2 linked regions of the Cricetulus griseus genome follow. The protein of the gene in region 1 purifies or fractionates together with the protein of each later gene. This does not show direct contact. Links are inferred from orthologs where the notes say so. Each region holds a gene or a part of one and is shown on either strand. Other genes may lie near its edges.

Evidence for each region.
Region 2: the proteins of Faf2 (region 1) and Ubl4a purify together in Homo sapiens (affinity purification with mass spectrometry; 3 studies listed by BioGRID and IntAct, with this or other methods). This does not show direct contact. The link is inferred for Cricetulus griseus from reciprocal best matches to the Homo sapiens genes FAF2 and UBL4A.

The regions. Positions count from the first base shown.
Region 1 is NC_048596.1:273,650,247-273,657,947, reverse strand, and holds the start of Faf2 (FAS-associated factor 2), read right to left. Parts: upstream 4,727-7,701; coding exon 4,664-4,726; intron 1-4,663. UniProt on the Homo sapiens protein: Plays an important role in endoplasmic reticulum-associated degradation (ERAD) that mediates ubiquitin-dependent degradation of misfolded endoplasmic reticulum proteins.
Region 2 is NC_048604.1:1,345,471-1,353,290, reverse strand, and holds Ubl4a (ubiquitin-like protein 4A), read right to left. Parts: upstream 4,407-7,820; 5' UTR 4,293-4,406; coding exon 4,245-4,292; intron 4,085-4,244; coding exon 3,979-4,084; intron 3,729-3,978; coding exon 3,520-3,728; intron 3,404-3,519; coding exon 3,329-3,403; coding exon of another isoform or gene 3,293-3,328; exon of another isoform or gene 2,657-3,292; coding exon 2,540-2,656; 3' UTR 1,491-2,539; downstream 1-1,490. Other genes in the region: Slc10a3 (P3 protein), read right to left, coding at 5,253-6,686. UniProt on the Homo sapiens protein: As part of a cytosolic protein quality control complex, the BAG6/BAT3 complex, maintains misfolded and hydrophobic patches-containing proteins in a soluble state and participates in their proper delivery to the endoplasmic reticulum or alternatively can promote their sorting to the proteasome where they undergo degradation.

The DNA of each region.
Region 1 (7,701 bases):
TTTCTTTTAGAAAAAGAAAATGGATAATGTCCATCACATAATATAGCACTCCCATTTCACAGAGAGAGAGAGAGAGAGAGAGAGAGAGAGAGAGAGAGAGAGACACTCAATGTGAGAACTCACCCAAGACTGTAAAACTCACTAGTAGCTTTCCTTGGCCAGGATTAGAAGAAGAGAGAAATCAAAACTCAAATAAATCACTGTGATTTTTTTAAACGGATGAATGGCAACTATCATGTACTCACCACAACTTCCAATTCCCAAATGGAAACTCCAAAAAATTACTTATAGATTTGCTTCTACAATCCAGGCTTTAAATAACTTAAAAAAAATAATTTGACTTTATTTTATTTGCATAAAGGTATCAGATCCCCTGGAACTGGAGTTACAGACAGCTGTGAGCTGCCATGTGAGGGCTGGGAATTGAACCTGGGGCCTCTGGAAAAACAGCTAGTGCTCTTAAGCACTGAGCCATCATCTCTCCAGCTCTTTTTTAAATAACTTAAGAGAATATGAGTCATGCCTTGTTATCCACTTACAAATTGTTTTTTTGCCGGCGTTGGTGGCACACACCTTTAATCCCAGCATTCAGGAAGCAGAGGCAGGCGGATCTCTGTGAGTTTGAGGCCAGCCTGGTCTCCAGAGTGAGTGCCAGGATAGACTCCAAAACTACACAGAGACACCTGTCTTGAAAAACAAAACAAAACAAACAAAAAAAATTTTTTTTTCAGCCAAGTATGGAGGTAGCCACCTGTCATCTCTATCCCCAAGTAGTAGCTAAGGTAAGACTGGCCTACATAGGCCACCCAGCGAACCCCTTTCTCATAAACAAAGAGAGCTGACAGGACGGCTCAGTGACTGAAGGCACTATCTGACAAGCCTGACACCTGAGGTCAACCCTTGGAACCCACAGGGCAGAAGGGTCAATCGCCTCTCACAAAGTGTCTTTAGATTTCCACATGTATTGTGGCATGTGTGGCCCCACACCCACACATTTAAATAAATAAAATGTAACGAGTTCTCTAATTAAACAAACAAAATGACATTCCTGTGCAAGCAGAAGGGGATCACTTCCTCCTAGGGAATGGTACAATCACTCCTTTCTTTCTGAGCATGCCATCCCTGCCTTGGTGCTAAAACACCAGCCCAGAGGCAGTAAACTAAAGCACTGGAGAAGTCTATATATTTGAAAATTTGTGGACACTGACTCCAATAAAAGTAATTTAAAACACATCTACATCAGCTCGTCTTTAAATTTATATACCTATTATTTTCTAGTGGAAATAGCTCAAAACATAGTGTCTACATTATTCCACTCAGCTAATATAAACTCAGCTAAAATAAACCAGAGCCATGAGAATTATACACACATAAGACAAAACAAAAACAAACTTAAAAATATCAAATGGACTGAGAAACATGATGCACATGCTTTAGAAAATTCTAACCCAATCACATCACAAAAAGAAACATAAGAAATCTCAATTTCCTGAAATGTTTTATTTTCACTAATTCATTTATTTAGGCTTTTGGAGACCTCACCTTGTAGGATAACCTGAAACTCAGTATGTAGCCCAGGCCGGGCCTGAACTTATACCAATTCTCTCTCTCTCTCTCTCTCTCTCTCTCTCTCTCTCTCTCTCTCTCTCTCTCTCTCTCCCTCCCTCCCTCCCTCCCTCCCTCCCTCCCTCCCTCCCTCCGTCTCTTTTCTTTTTGGCTTTTCTAGATAGGGTTTCTCTGTGTATTCCTGACTGTCCTGGGACTCCTCTGTAGACCAGGTTGGCCTGGGACTCCTCTGTAGACCAGGTTGGCCTCGAATTCGGAGATCCACTCTGCCTCCCCAGTGCTGGGACTAAAGGTGTGCACCACCACTGCCCAGTCTAGCAATCCTCTTAACCTCTCAAGTGCTGGCACTGCCATTACAGGTGTGAACCAACATGCCTGGTTCAACTGTACCTTGTGAAACATGGACCCACACAGAAAACTGGCTGTCAGCAGTGCCACCCTGTTCTATTCTGACACCCATGGAAATTCCAAGCACATGACCCATAATCCTGGAGAAGCAAACCCCAAACCTGGTGGTGGTGTCACTCCCTAGTTAAGAAAAGCTCTCATGACTGTCTCTGCCTACTGAATTGAGCATAGTATTGACAGGTCTCCAAAATCTGGCTCTAGTTTACCTTGTCACTCCCGGTCTACTTCCTACAACAGATATGTCCACACCTTCCCATCTCCAAGTGAGAAGCCCACTTTCCCAGCTTCAAACATTCTCCTGCCCGCCATCTGCTCAAATTCCAACCCTCTTCAAAACCGAAAGGTCTTGTGCTAAGAGCTCAGACTTTCAGGCCACAGCTAGACCCACTAGATCTCCACGAACAGCTTCAGGACCTAAAGCAAATAAGTCAACAGATCTGTTTCTGTACCAGATACCATAGAAGGCACAACACCCTTTGTACTTTTACAAGGTAACTGTGTGGATTGAGCATGATGGTTATGCATCATCTTAAAGCATAGTAGGTAACAAATATTAACTTCTAAACCATCCTTCCTTCCTTCCTTCCGCCTTCACCATCAGTAGGTTTACTTGTGTCTAAACTCAAAGACAAAGACACAGAGACACACACATAGACACACAGACATACACCCCAGAGGGCTTTCTGGGAGCTCCTATTATTCATGTTATGTACCTTGGCTTCAACATTAGGATACAAACACAACACTCATGAATGTGGATTTCTAAATATATGCAAAGCACTATTTGTGCAAATTATCTGACCAAACAGGTTAACAGTCATCTAAAAAAGTTTAAGGTTATAACATCTGACGTTTGTGTATGTCAAGCAATACTTAAGAGCAGTCTGAGAAGATAAATCTGATCCAGGCTTGCTTATAGAACACAAAAATACAAAATGCATTTTCTTAATAAATTCAACTTCATACACCTTGACAGGTGTATTAATCTTATGACAATATTAACTTGCCAGCCACCCCGTTTCTGACAATGTCCACTGAAGAAGATGAGGAGTTCCTCAAGCTCTTTATCACACAAACATCGCCATATATACTCACACTCACACACGGCTTACCCCTAAGAGTTGTAAAGTGTAGTCTAGCCAAGGTAAATAAAACCCTGAAAGTAGTAGTCTGCAAAGAAGCAAAGGCTGACTGTTCACTCTTTAATTCTAATCTGGTGTCATCAATTTCTCTATTATAAACTCCACGAAAATGTCAGCTATGCCTATGATAGTACTTTACCATTTACACGCTCCCAACACATTGCCTAACAACACACTCGAACACACAAAATCAACATCAGAGCAGTTACAGCCCACTGTTAACTACATACACACTCTTACACACAGACTGTACAGCAGAGACATCAAAAGCCCACGAAGGGCTCAAAGACTGTGCTTATGTGACACCACCAACGACTAGCTGTGTGACCTAAGCACGCTGCTTCCTTTTGTTTGGAAAAGGCTGGCCAGAAAATCGCAATCCTCCAGCTTCCACCTCCTGTCCTCGGAGATTACCGTCCTGGGCCACACCCACTGGTGCTACTTCTTACAATCCATAGCCATGTATGAGACAGGGGCTGTCACAGTAGAACGCCATTGGGCTGTGTACTAATCGAGGTAACATGCTCAATGTTAGTGACAGTCTCACACATTTAGTGGGCGGCATTCTAACAAGCAGTGTCTGGCACTAAGAACTGCTCAAAATGAGTATTTAGCACGTTCCCTATTAGAAAACGAGTTCTAGTAACTGTAGTTCTATCTGAAGTCAAACGTTGATAGCAGCAACCGTTTAGGCACATTTTGACTGTTTACAAAGTCCTTTCAATACCTTGTAACATCCATAGACTCCAGTTTACCTCCAAAGCACCCTCAAGGGGACAGACATTTTGAAGTCATGCATTTAAGAACTAAGGCAACTGGCTAATAACGCCACGGTGACCACCACGGTGGTCTCCTCCATGCTGACCCTCCACCTCGGTTAAGTGCTTAGTGCCTTTTTTTTTTTTTTTTTTTTTTTTTTTTTTTTTTTTTTTGGTTAACGTAACATCCACTAAGAGGAGGCCGAGTCCTGCAAGTTTCCACCCTCCAGGAGAGCCAGCAGTTCAGGAGAGAGCCGAAGGTAACAAGATCCGGTCAGAAGCCATCGATGGTACTTAACGTCGCATTGTTTCCTCATGTGGCGTCCTCCCACTTCTCTAGGGCAGGGGCCAGGGCTGTGTGTAGCGCTTCCTTCCCTACTACGGCCCTCAACGCAAGACCCCGAGACCAAGAGACCCTCGGCCTCGGCTGTGGAAGGCGCGGGGCGGTGGTGGGCGGTCCGGACCCGCGAGCTGACGCCAACTCCGCGATGGGGACTTGGGGTCTCTAGCACAGCACACCAGCAGTCGACGGGCGCGGAGGGGCCGCGCGCGCGCGAGCCGGGCCCGCGCCGCTACGGGGACCCGGGGCGGCTGGCCCGGCGGAGGCTGGAAGGCTGGCTACCGACAGAGCTCGGGGCCGGGGGGCCGGGCAGTTGGCGTCGGGGGGGAGGGGGCCGCCTGCCGCTCTGAAAAGGGGCCCAACCCCAACCTGAGGATGGCTCGGCGCTCCTCTAGGGCCCCGCTCCCCATCCCGCGGCGGCCTGCGCTGCACCGAGAACTCGCTGCTACCTGAAACTGCAGCAGCTTCTCGGTCTGCTCCTGAGTTAGATCCTGCTCCTCAGGCGCCGCCATTTTGCCGCCGCCTCTACGCTCCTGACCCGTCCGCACCGTCACCCGCCGGAAGTGACCTCAGGGGCCACCGCTTCCGGCCCGAACCGCCGCCGGAACCCAACTGCGTCTGCGCGCGCCGGCGCCCGGGCCCCGACCGCGTCCCGCCGCCACAGGGCGGCGCGCCGGAGTCTCGGCCGCCGAGCAGTTCCGGGGGAGACCGGGCCGAAGCGGGGGCTCGCCGAGGAGCGGAGACCGCTCGGGTGACAGTGCGGCCCGGCCGCTTCTTAGGCGTCGTGCAGACGTCCCCGACGCCCTGGCGGGTGTCTCAGGACGCTGCTGCTTTAACGGCCGCTCGCCGGGAGCGCTGGTAATGAATGGGGTAACGGGGCTTGCGGACCCTGCGGCCCTGCACCGGCGTGCGAGCCCCGTGTGCCGCTCGCCCTTCGTCGCTTTGACAGACCCAGGGTGGATACTCGGACTAGGTCCAGGCGACTTGACTTGGCGTGTTTGACACCTCGCGAATGACAGACCACCCGGACTGTTGCTTTGGTCGCCTGCGGTTCATTTACAGCCCCAGGGCGGGAGAGGCACACTCCAAACCTCCAACACTGGAGAGGCTAAGCGTAGCGGGAGCATCTTGAATCCAAGGCCAACCTGGGCTACATAATCAGACCCTGTATCAAAACAACCACCAAGAACAACGCCCCTCTCTGCTCCGGTTTTTTCTTAACCTTTAGAACCTTCTAGAGAAATACTGTCCAATAAAAATACGTGGACCACACATACAATTTAAAACGGTAGTCACACTAGGGACAAGTGAAATTCTGCTGACGGGAATTCCATTCACTATGGAAATCAGTTTAAACATTCTCCTAAAATTAAAATTAGAACCACTACATAATCCAGCCGCACCAGTTCTGGTATATGCCTGCAAGAATCAATTTAGTTTACTATAGAAATACCCATATTCACGTATTTACTGATGCACAGTACATTATAGAGTCGGCCTAAGTGTCTAAAAATAAATGAATGGATGAAGAAAATTCTGTATATAACTGGGAATGGTTGCTAACACCTTTAATCCCAGTACTCGGTTGGCAGAGGAAGGTGGAAACCTGAGTTCCAGGCCAACCTGGTCTACAGAGCAAGTTTCAGGACAGCCAGGGCTGCACAGAGAAATCTTGTCTAAAAATAGAAAAAAAAAAAAAAAAGAAGCTCGGGGGGGGGGGGGGAGCGGTGCTGCACACCTTTAGTCCCAGCACTCAGGAGACAGAGGCAGGTGGATCTCTGTGAGATCGAGACCAGGCTGGTCTACAAAAGCTAGTTCCAGGACAGCCTGGAATCCTGTCTGGAAAAACGGAGGAGGAGGGGCTGGAGTAATGCCTCAGAGGTTAAGAGCACTGACTGCTCCTCCAGTGGTCCTGAGTTCGATTCCCAGCAACCACATGGTGGCTCACAACCATCCATTCTGAGATCTGGTGCCCTCTTCTCATGTGCAGACATACATGGAAGCAGAATGTTGTATACATAATAAATAAAATATTAAAAAAAAAAGAAAAGCCGGGCGTTGGTGATGCACCTTTAATCCCAGCACTCGGGAGGCAGAGGCAGGTGGAACTCTGTGAGTTCGAGACCAACCTGGTCTACAAGAGCTAGTTCCAAGACAGCTTCCAAAAAAAGCCACAGAGAAACCCTGTCTTGAAAAACCAAAAAAATAGAAAAAAAGAAAAAGAAAAAAAACGGAGGAGGAGGAAGAAGAAAAAAGAAGGAAGAATGAAGAAAGACACACATACACACAAAACAAAAACAAGGGACTCAGAGAGATGGCACAGTGGTTGAGAGTGGCTGCTCTTCCAGAGGTCCTGAGTTCAATTCCCAGCAACCATGTGGTAGCTCACAGACATCTATAATAGGCTCTGATGCCCTCTTCTGGCCTGCAGGTATATAAGCAGAGCACTCATACATAAAAAATAGAAATAAATTTTTAAAATTCTGTATACATGTACAATGGAATTTTATTCAACTATAAAGAATGCACTTTTGTTTGTAGGGAGGTGGATGAGACGACTGGAGACCGTCATGTTGAGTGAAGTAAGCCATTTTCACAAGGTACCACATGTTTTCTGACTTATAAAGAATCCGAAGCTGAAAGGAAGAGGGGGATTAGCAGGAAGGATGAAGGGGAAATGTGATGGGAGGGGTAAGAAAGGATGAGATGATCAAAGCATGCTTACATATATACGTGGAAATGTCCTTTACTTTGTGCAATTAATGTAATTCTAGTAAAAACCCCAAGGGAAGGGCTGGGCAGATGGGTTAATTGGTAAGTGTCTGCCAGGCCTCCACCAGGACCTAGTTCAGATCCCTAGCATTCACATAAAAGTCAGGCCCCACAGATCTGTAATACCAGTGCTGAAGGGCAGAGACAGGCAGATCCCTGCAACTCATTGACATCCAGCCTAGCCAAATTGTCCCAAATTTGGGACATAGCCCAGCCAGCCTGTCCCAAAAAAGTAAGGTAGAAGAGCTGGAGAGATGGCTCAGTAGTTAAGAGCACTTGCTACTCTTACAGAGGACCTGTGTTTAGCTCCCAGCACCCACATCACACGACTCATAAACTCTGTAACTACAGTTTCAGGAGATCTTATGTCCTGTAGCCTGCTGCTTGAGGCTACACCTCTCTGCCTTGATGTACTCTTATCCCTCCAGAACTATAAGTCAAAATACACTCTTCCTTGTGTGAGTTGCCTTGGGTGTAGTGTTTTCTTCACAGCAAGGAGTAAGTGAACAATATACATTTCTTAATTATATTCTTCTGTAGATACTAGGAATTCATCCAAGAAATGCTCAATGCTTGCTTTGAGGACAGATGTCATCAAAGGTAAATGGTGCAGAGCTATTGCCCTCGAAAAACACATAAATAGAAAAGTAAAAGGATTTCACCAACTCTTTGGAAGTATGTGTAAGTGTGTGTGTGTGTGTGTGTGTGTGTGTGT
Region 2 (7,820 bases), on another chromosome or scaffold:
GAGAGCATAGCCAGAGGCAGGGACATCTGGGAAGAGTCCTGAGTGAACATATCCCTGAACCCTGTGAAAAGAGTGGTGAGGGAAAGGTAGGAGAACCAGGGGCAGTAGCTAGGAGGCTCAAATGTACAAAGAGAGTGAGTAGCCAAAATGGTTGGATTATAGAGAGAAGAGCAGCCCAGTCCCCTGGGCTGGAGAGTTCAGGATAGGGGGCCAAGTATGCCAGCCAGGATGGCCTGTAAAAAGTAGGTACTGAGGGATGCTAGAGAATCCGGAGGCCAAGTCTGCTTTGATGTTAAATAGGCATCTCAGCCATTTGTCCCAGGTTTGAAACCTATTTGCCTCCATTCCTTCGTACACACATCTTGTGGAGTAACAGATTCTTGAGGATTCTTTGGCTATATATTAAGAACTCCAGAGAGAGGGTCCACCATCTTCCTGTAGTGGCAGCACTGATGGTCTCTCCCTTCTGCAAACTTGCCCTTGACTTGCACTTGACACCACCTATTGCCCATGCCTTTGCCTGTGGCTCCCTTCTAAACTCCCCTCTGGTTAGTGAAGCTGGCTCCTTGAGGCTGAGATCTCTCCTTTTTGTTAGCCCCCTTCTCTGGGCAGCTACCTCAATCATCCTTCCAGTATCTAGGACTCTGTCTACAGAACATTCCTGGGTATAGCAGTATGGATTCAAGTTGTTCCTCATCCACTTCTTACATTTGGCAGTCAGATGAGAATGAAATGAGAAAAGTGCTCTGCAAAGAAAAGGTTCATTAACAATACAAGAGCTGACTATCAAAAGGAGTCCCCTTCTTGCTTTTCTGGATCAGCTTTTCCATTACAGGGCCCTCAATTCATATTTTGAGGGCACTTCACTCATCTCCATGTCCAATCTCACCTCCCCTGTCCCTTACCTCCCACATACAGTTACCCCAGCATCCCAAGGCAATCAGATATCATTGGATCCCTTTCGCAACTCCTTCCTACACTTGTGAGTTTTGTTTCAGCCATAGCCCAATTCCTGAAGAACCCTTTATTTAGTTTCTTGCTCTATAGGTAGCTGCACTGCAATACATACCAATTGTCCCATAAACTCGTCTAAACACTGTCCTTTCTTTGGCCAAGGTGAGGATCTTGCAGGCTTTGTACACCCTGAATTGAGAAGCATTGGCTCAAGAGACTCATGAACATGTCTATGGTTTGTTTCCTCTGCATTTAGAAACTTTAAATGCATTTGGATGCAAGTCTCAGAAAACACTCCTTGTCTGAGCCCTCATCCCTTTCTCCTTTACTATCTCCAAGGGGTCATACTCTTTCTGGCTCAGATGTTTCCTGTAGTGGAGAGTTGCCATATGCATCCACCAGGACATGCATTTACTTTTCCTTCTTGGTACAGCTCCTATGTGCCCAGGAAAGCAGATCAAGACTACCTGAGTAGGTGTTAACTGATAACCAACAAATCCTTTTTCCATATGCCAAGCCCCAGTGATTACACAGGATTCAGTTCTGACCAATAAGAGAGCATTTATTTGCTGGGGCATCTGAGACAGAAGCTATGTTACAGAGAGAAAGTGCTCCTTGCTGGCAGCAAATGGTTTGATGAAGCTGCAGGCAGCCACCCTTTGATCCTTGGAAGTAGTGGTGAGGATGAAGCAGATGCTGGAGAATTCAGAGGGAGGCAGGAAAAAAGCTGGATGTTTGGTGAAATTGTTCATCAACTGCCAGTACTCCTGGGCTTTTTCACTTTTGTAAGCCAGTAAGTTTCCTGTGTTGTTAAACCAATTATTTGAAACCAAAAGCAGACTAGTTTATTAATAGAGTTCGTCTTGGTAAAAAGTCTCACATGCACCTTAAGTGTTATTTAATTTTCCAAATACATTCCCTGACTCAAAGTGAACAAGGACATTGGTAAGCTTATTATCTGAGCTGCCAGTCCACATATGTGCTCACAAGCAGGTCCCTGATGTGGTACCCCAGGTCTCAGGGAGGAGCAGGGTCTACCAGCTGCTCATCCCCTCAGGCCTCACTTTAGTTTATCATTCCATTATGGGGAGTCAAGATTTGTCCCACAAGGCCCAAAGCCCATGCAGGAGGCCGTTGGGCAAGAAAGGCCAGTGTAGTCCCAACAACATTCAGAGTTGCTTCCTTGGCAAGAGTGGAGGGGCAGGAGTAATGTCCTGCAGGTGGCTATCTTCCAGCCTCAACTGCTCCCAGGGGGTCCTCCTCAAAGGAGCTAGTACTTACATGACCTTTAGCACCCAGGCATAGGTTCAGTGAAAAGAAGAACCACTGTCTTCAGCTTACATTTCTATCTCCTCCTCAGCACCCTGAGTTTCTTCTTAAGCAATGAAGGTGTGCAAACTGAAAGTCCCTGTACACAGGTGGCAGAGGAAGCATCCGTCTCATGCTGTGGGAGAACGCTGGGTGAGGAGACCCAGGAAGAATCCTAGTTGTGACACTGCTTTGTGGAGTCACCTGCTGTCCCTCATGGATGAGACCGACTTCCAGGAGGAGCCAAGCAGATAGGGTCCCCCCAAGAAGAGCTATGTCACAAAGGCCCAGGATATTCCATCTGTGGCCCATGCTTGGCTACCACTTCACTTTTGGCTTCAGTTTGCTTACTGAACACAAGATGGCACTGCAGTTGGTGATAGCAGACTCCCACCTTGAGCCGGGAAAGAGGGAAGGAAACTTATTCAGGTCAGAGGAGTGGTCACCACTAACAGACTCAATGGTAGGGGACCTAAGTGGCACAGAAACTTGACTTAAGCCATACAACGGAGCTAGGGTATCTTTCTGATCCTCCAGCCCCTGACTTTGTCATTCATCAAGAGCACACTGGCTGCAGCAGCAGAGGGACTCTGGATGGCTACCACTTGGCTTCCTATGGAGATTTGCCAAGGGTATGCCAGACATACTAGAGGACAGGTGACAGGGACTAGTGGCTTCCTGAGGGAGTCACTTGAGTGTGTATGTTGAGTGGGCTAAATGGGAATGTTAAGGCCCATCCCTCAAAACAACACACTCTTTCTCCTACAGAGGCACTTCTACAGCTGGCTAGACTTGGATTCTGGCTGTCCCAAGCCATTGCTAGGTGTTTCTACAGTGCAGCCTCAACTGTCCTGTGGAAGGCAGAAGAGAATTCAGGCCAAGTACTTTGAGTAGTGCTTAGCACCTAGCAAGAACTGGGTACATACCAGCTATTATTATCACTATGAGCCAAACTGCGACATGAGAACACATTTAATGCAACATGCAGCTGTGGCCTGACCTGGGATTTCTCCCCCCACTCCCAGAAATGCTATTTGGAGAACCCTTTTTCCATAGACTCAGTTACTTCAGGGTGTAGAAAGCGGCTGGCCAAACGTTCAATGTCATCCAGTGTTAGGCGGCTCAGAGATCTGTCATAATCCTGAGAAGAGAAGACCAGGTGGGTTCAGGGGGTGCAAGCAGGAAGGGGTATGCTGTAATAGGTGGGGGCTGGGGCTAGAAACATTAAGATTGGAGGTCCAGAATTATTCTGCTCACCCTCTGTAGTTGTTCCAGGACCCTGCTGGTATCTGCTACACTGAAGTGACGGGCCAGGACTTTGGAGATCAGCTGCCAGAGGGGTGGGGGTGGGGAGTCGACCAGTCTGTGGGCAGACCCTTCTTCCAGCAGCACCTTCTCCAAAGGTTTAACGACTAGGTTGAGTTTAGAATTGGGCCCAATGTTGTAATCTGACAGTCGTTTCTCATCTGCCAAAGAGAGATTGGTGGGGTTCCTTCCTCATTGTTGTGGGGGTGGCCAGAGAGCAATCCTGCCATGGACAGCTAGAGTGAAACACTGCAGCATCTGGCTATGGGGTGGTGGCGTCTCAGCTACTTTTCCAAGGTTTAGTGGCAGCCACTGCTCTAATCCATTACACTGGCCTGTACATCCCGTCCCCCAACTTCCAACTTCCTACTTCCTGTGGGGGGTCCCTGGATGGCTCCTTTCCCTGGTTACCTGTTAGGGCCTTGCCCTTGAACAGCAGACGTTGCTGGCGCACAGGGACGTTCAGCTTATCCGAGACCAGATGCTTCAGTGTAGACACTAGCTCGTCCTCCGGCACCTGATCCGGCCGAGGTGGAGAGGCAAGGGCTTAGTCCGAATTCCCTGGGCGATGCAGCCCTAGTGCCCCCTCCTGAGGTTAGCTCTCCTGGCCTCCCCCGCCCGCCATTGGCCCCAGCGGCAGGAGTGTGTGAGTGTAGCAGCCTGCAGGGTAACCTTACCTGTAGGCTGCACTCCCGGCCCTGGAGCGCCTTCACGGTCAGCTGCATGATGCCCACAGCCGCGTCCACTAGGACCAATGTAAACCCCAATGGTCCCCTGCCGCGCGCCGCTGCCCCGGGCGCGCGCCGGAACCGCCCGCCGCCGCCGGAAGCCGTGAAAGGGGCGAGCCCGCCGCGTGGCTCCCGCCCGGTCCCGCCTCCAGGCCTTTGCGCCTGCCTGAGCCTGGGGTAGCGTCCACCGCCCTGGGCCCACAAGCCTCCAGCGGCTTTGGTGCAGGGAAGTGGGGCCATTCCGCCCACTGGGATAGGAGCGAGGAATCTGTAGGGTCAGGCTTGCTTCACCGGGGAGCTGTGGCTTGAAAGGAAGGACCAGAATGTCAGCCTCATGCAAGGCCTGACCTGTTAATTCCTACCCTGCTGGTGGACCACATCAGGGCAAACATGTAGTAGTGTCTCTCAGATACAGAAATGGTCCAGTCCTACCTGCCATAGCCCAATGGCTTTCTACTTCTTCCTTTCTAGTCTGGTTGCAAAAATATCCTGGCCGAGGCTCCAAAGTAGTGGACCTAGGCCTCTATCTCTTCACTCATTATAGAACAGAGTCCTGCCCTGTTCTGATAGAGAAAAGCCTTTGCAGATCTGGAGATATAGCTCAAAGGTACAACACTTGTCTACCATGTGCAAAGCACAGAGGAAGGAGAGAGTGGGCTCTGTGCACGGTCACCAAGCCTGTTCACCATCCTGGTCCATATCAACCCAGACACACTCTTCCTATCCCCATCCATACACTCCAAGGGACAAAGACTGGAAGGGACCCAAGCTTGCTTTTGTCTTTTATTGAAATATATTTCTAACTCAGCATGGCCTCTTTGGCACTGAAAGCTGGAAAAAAAAAGCCTGGATTTGTCTGAGTGCATAGTGCATGAGAACAAAAGGCCTTTGGTACAGAACTGTGGGGACAGTGGATGGAGTATGGGGGCTGGGGTTATAAAACTTGATCCAGGGTCCTCATGGAACAGGAAACAAGTTGCTGTAGATGAACTGGCCAATAACCAAAGCCAGCATCTCGGAGGTACCACTCAGTGCCACAATGAAGGGGGCCTGAGAGGCATAGTCTGCTTGAAGGCGACGCAGAGACAGCTGCAGCATAGCTAAAGCTAGCAAGCTGTTTTGTACCCCTACCTCAATGCTGACTGTCCGCCGCTGGGCCACTGGCAGCTTCAGGCACATGGCTAGGCTGTAGCCCACCAAAAGGCCAACCAGGGGCACTGTGAAGCCCACCAGTACGATGGGTAACCTGACTCCCACTAAGATGAAGACCCCCATGTGGTAGGCCAGGAATAGGCCACCCAGGAGAAGTACAAAACTGAAGGGCTTGATGACCTGTAGCAGCAGCTCTGAGAACTTAGGGAGCTTAGACTTGATTACCACACCTGCTGCTATGGGGATGGCGATGAACAGCAGAGTCCCCAGTATCTTGGAGATGGGCACGTGGAGTGTTTCATGGATGCTGAGAAGGCGGCTGTAGATGGCTGATGAAAGTGGCAAGAAACCTGTGGCAGCTACTGTTGAGATGAAAGTCATGGAGATGGCCAGGGTGACATCTCCTCCAAGGAGGAGACTGAAGAGGTAGCTCCCCCCACCGCCAGGTGATGAGCAGGTAATGATGAGGCCAAGAGCTAAGGCCTTAGGTAGCATGAAGACTTTGGCCATCAGGAAAGCATAGAAGGGCATGACCAGAAACTGGCCCAAGAGGCCCAACAGCATGGGTTGGGGGCTCTGTAGGAGCTCCTTCAAAACTTCAAGTTCCACTTTGCACCCAAATGAACATTTGTTGACAAAGATAAGAGGCAGGAGCAGGTAGAGGATTGGGTTCTCTGAGAAGTGGCCCAAGTTGGGGTTGAGGGTAGAAGGGATGTCTTCAGCAGGTGACACCCTGATGCAGAAATCTCTCCGTTCTTCAATCAGCAAAGGTGGGGTCTCATGGAGGTCCATGAGCTGGAGGTGGAGTGGGGCCAGCCCAGCCAGACCTGAGTGGATGTTCACCACGAAGCCACCCCCACTGCCCCAGGTTATGGCACTTACATTCTTGATGGTCAGCACCTCTGTGTCCAGGGATATAACCCTCAGTGTAGGGCTGAGGCCTGTTCCATTGGCCTGTCCCGAGTACTGACTAGAGATCACAATGATACCCTCACTCTTTTCAGGGAACTCAAACTCTGTCACTGAACCATCCCCAATGCTCAAATAGTGACCACCTGTCAGTGGCACAGTGTGGCCCTGAGCAGTGCTGAGGTTGGCACTGGCCATCACTTGGGCCCCCCATGGCAGGCTTATGAGCAGCAAGGCAGTTCCGAGCATAACTATGAGACCTGTACAACCACCCTGTCCTCCCAGGCCAGGCAACTGCTTGGAGCTACCTTTGCTTCTCCTGACCACCATGGCACCTTTCAAAGGATAGTGTTCGTAGGGCCCTCGTGTCTTAGGGGAACACCCTTGCTTGTGCTGTTGTAGTGTCCTGAGAAGGGTCCATGGGAAGGTCCTAGTCCTGTGTGGTCTTTCTTGATAGCAGGGCTTTCCCTGAAAAGAGAAGGGGCAAAGAAAATGGCTAATGAAGAGGAGAAACTGCAAGCTCAGGAGCACGGGGCTCTCAAAGAACCTTTTACTTCTAGTTTGGGGATACTGCTGGTCCTTGAATGTCATTCAGCCATCTCCTCCTCCAGCACAGCTGCCTCAAGCTTCTCAGCCCTCAAGAGAGGTCACCAACATATAGAAAACCCCACTCAGTCTCCCAATTCTCTGGACTTGACTACTTTGGTAACCTTACTAAGTAGTAGCTAGTACTAAGGGCTGTAGGAGAGCGATCTCTAACCCTGTCACCACTAGCCCATTTCACACTAGTTTCAAGATGCTGTGACAGCACTGTAGGAATGAACTAAACTGTTTCCTGGAGGGGCTATGTATCCTGGCTCACTGCTGTCATCCTAGCACTTGGGAGGTAGAGGCAAGAGAAACAGCAATCTAAGATCATCCTTCAGTTACATAGCCAGTTCCAGGGCAGCCTGGAGGATTTGATACTCTGTTTCCAAACAAAGCAAATCAAATAAAAATGGCTTCCTGGGGGAAACAAGGACACTAGTCAGATAAGAACAAAGAGTGCTGATGGTAGCTGGGCATGGTGGTGTACACTTTTAATCTCAGCACTCAGGAAACAGAGGCAGGCAGATCTCTGTAAGTTCAAGGCCAGCCTGGACGATAAATGGGTCCCAGGACTACACAGAAAAAAATGAAGAAAAATAGGTTGCTGATGGGAACATTGTCTTGTGCCAGATCCAGGTCTTTAAAGAACAGAATAGAGGAGTCTGAATGCCATTTGCCTGCTGCAAAGTGGTGATAAAGTGACATGGGCAATATGTGACTTACTGAACCAAAGTCTGCAGGGCATGGTGCCTGCTATTGACATGGAATTGGGTATATCATTGCTGTGGCTTCATGTCCTGTCCCACCTGCCCTATACTAATGAGATGGGAGTCCTTGTGGGAAGCACATCCCTACTTCTAAAGGAAGTTATAGTGG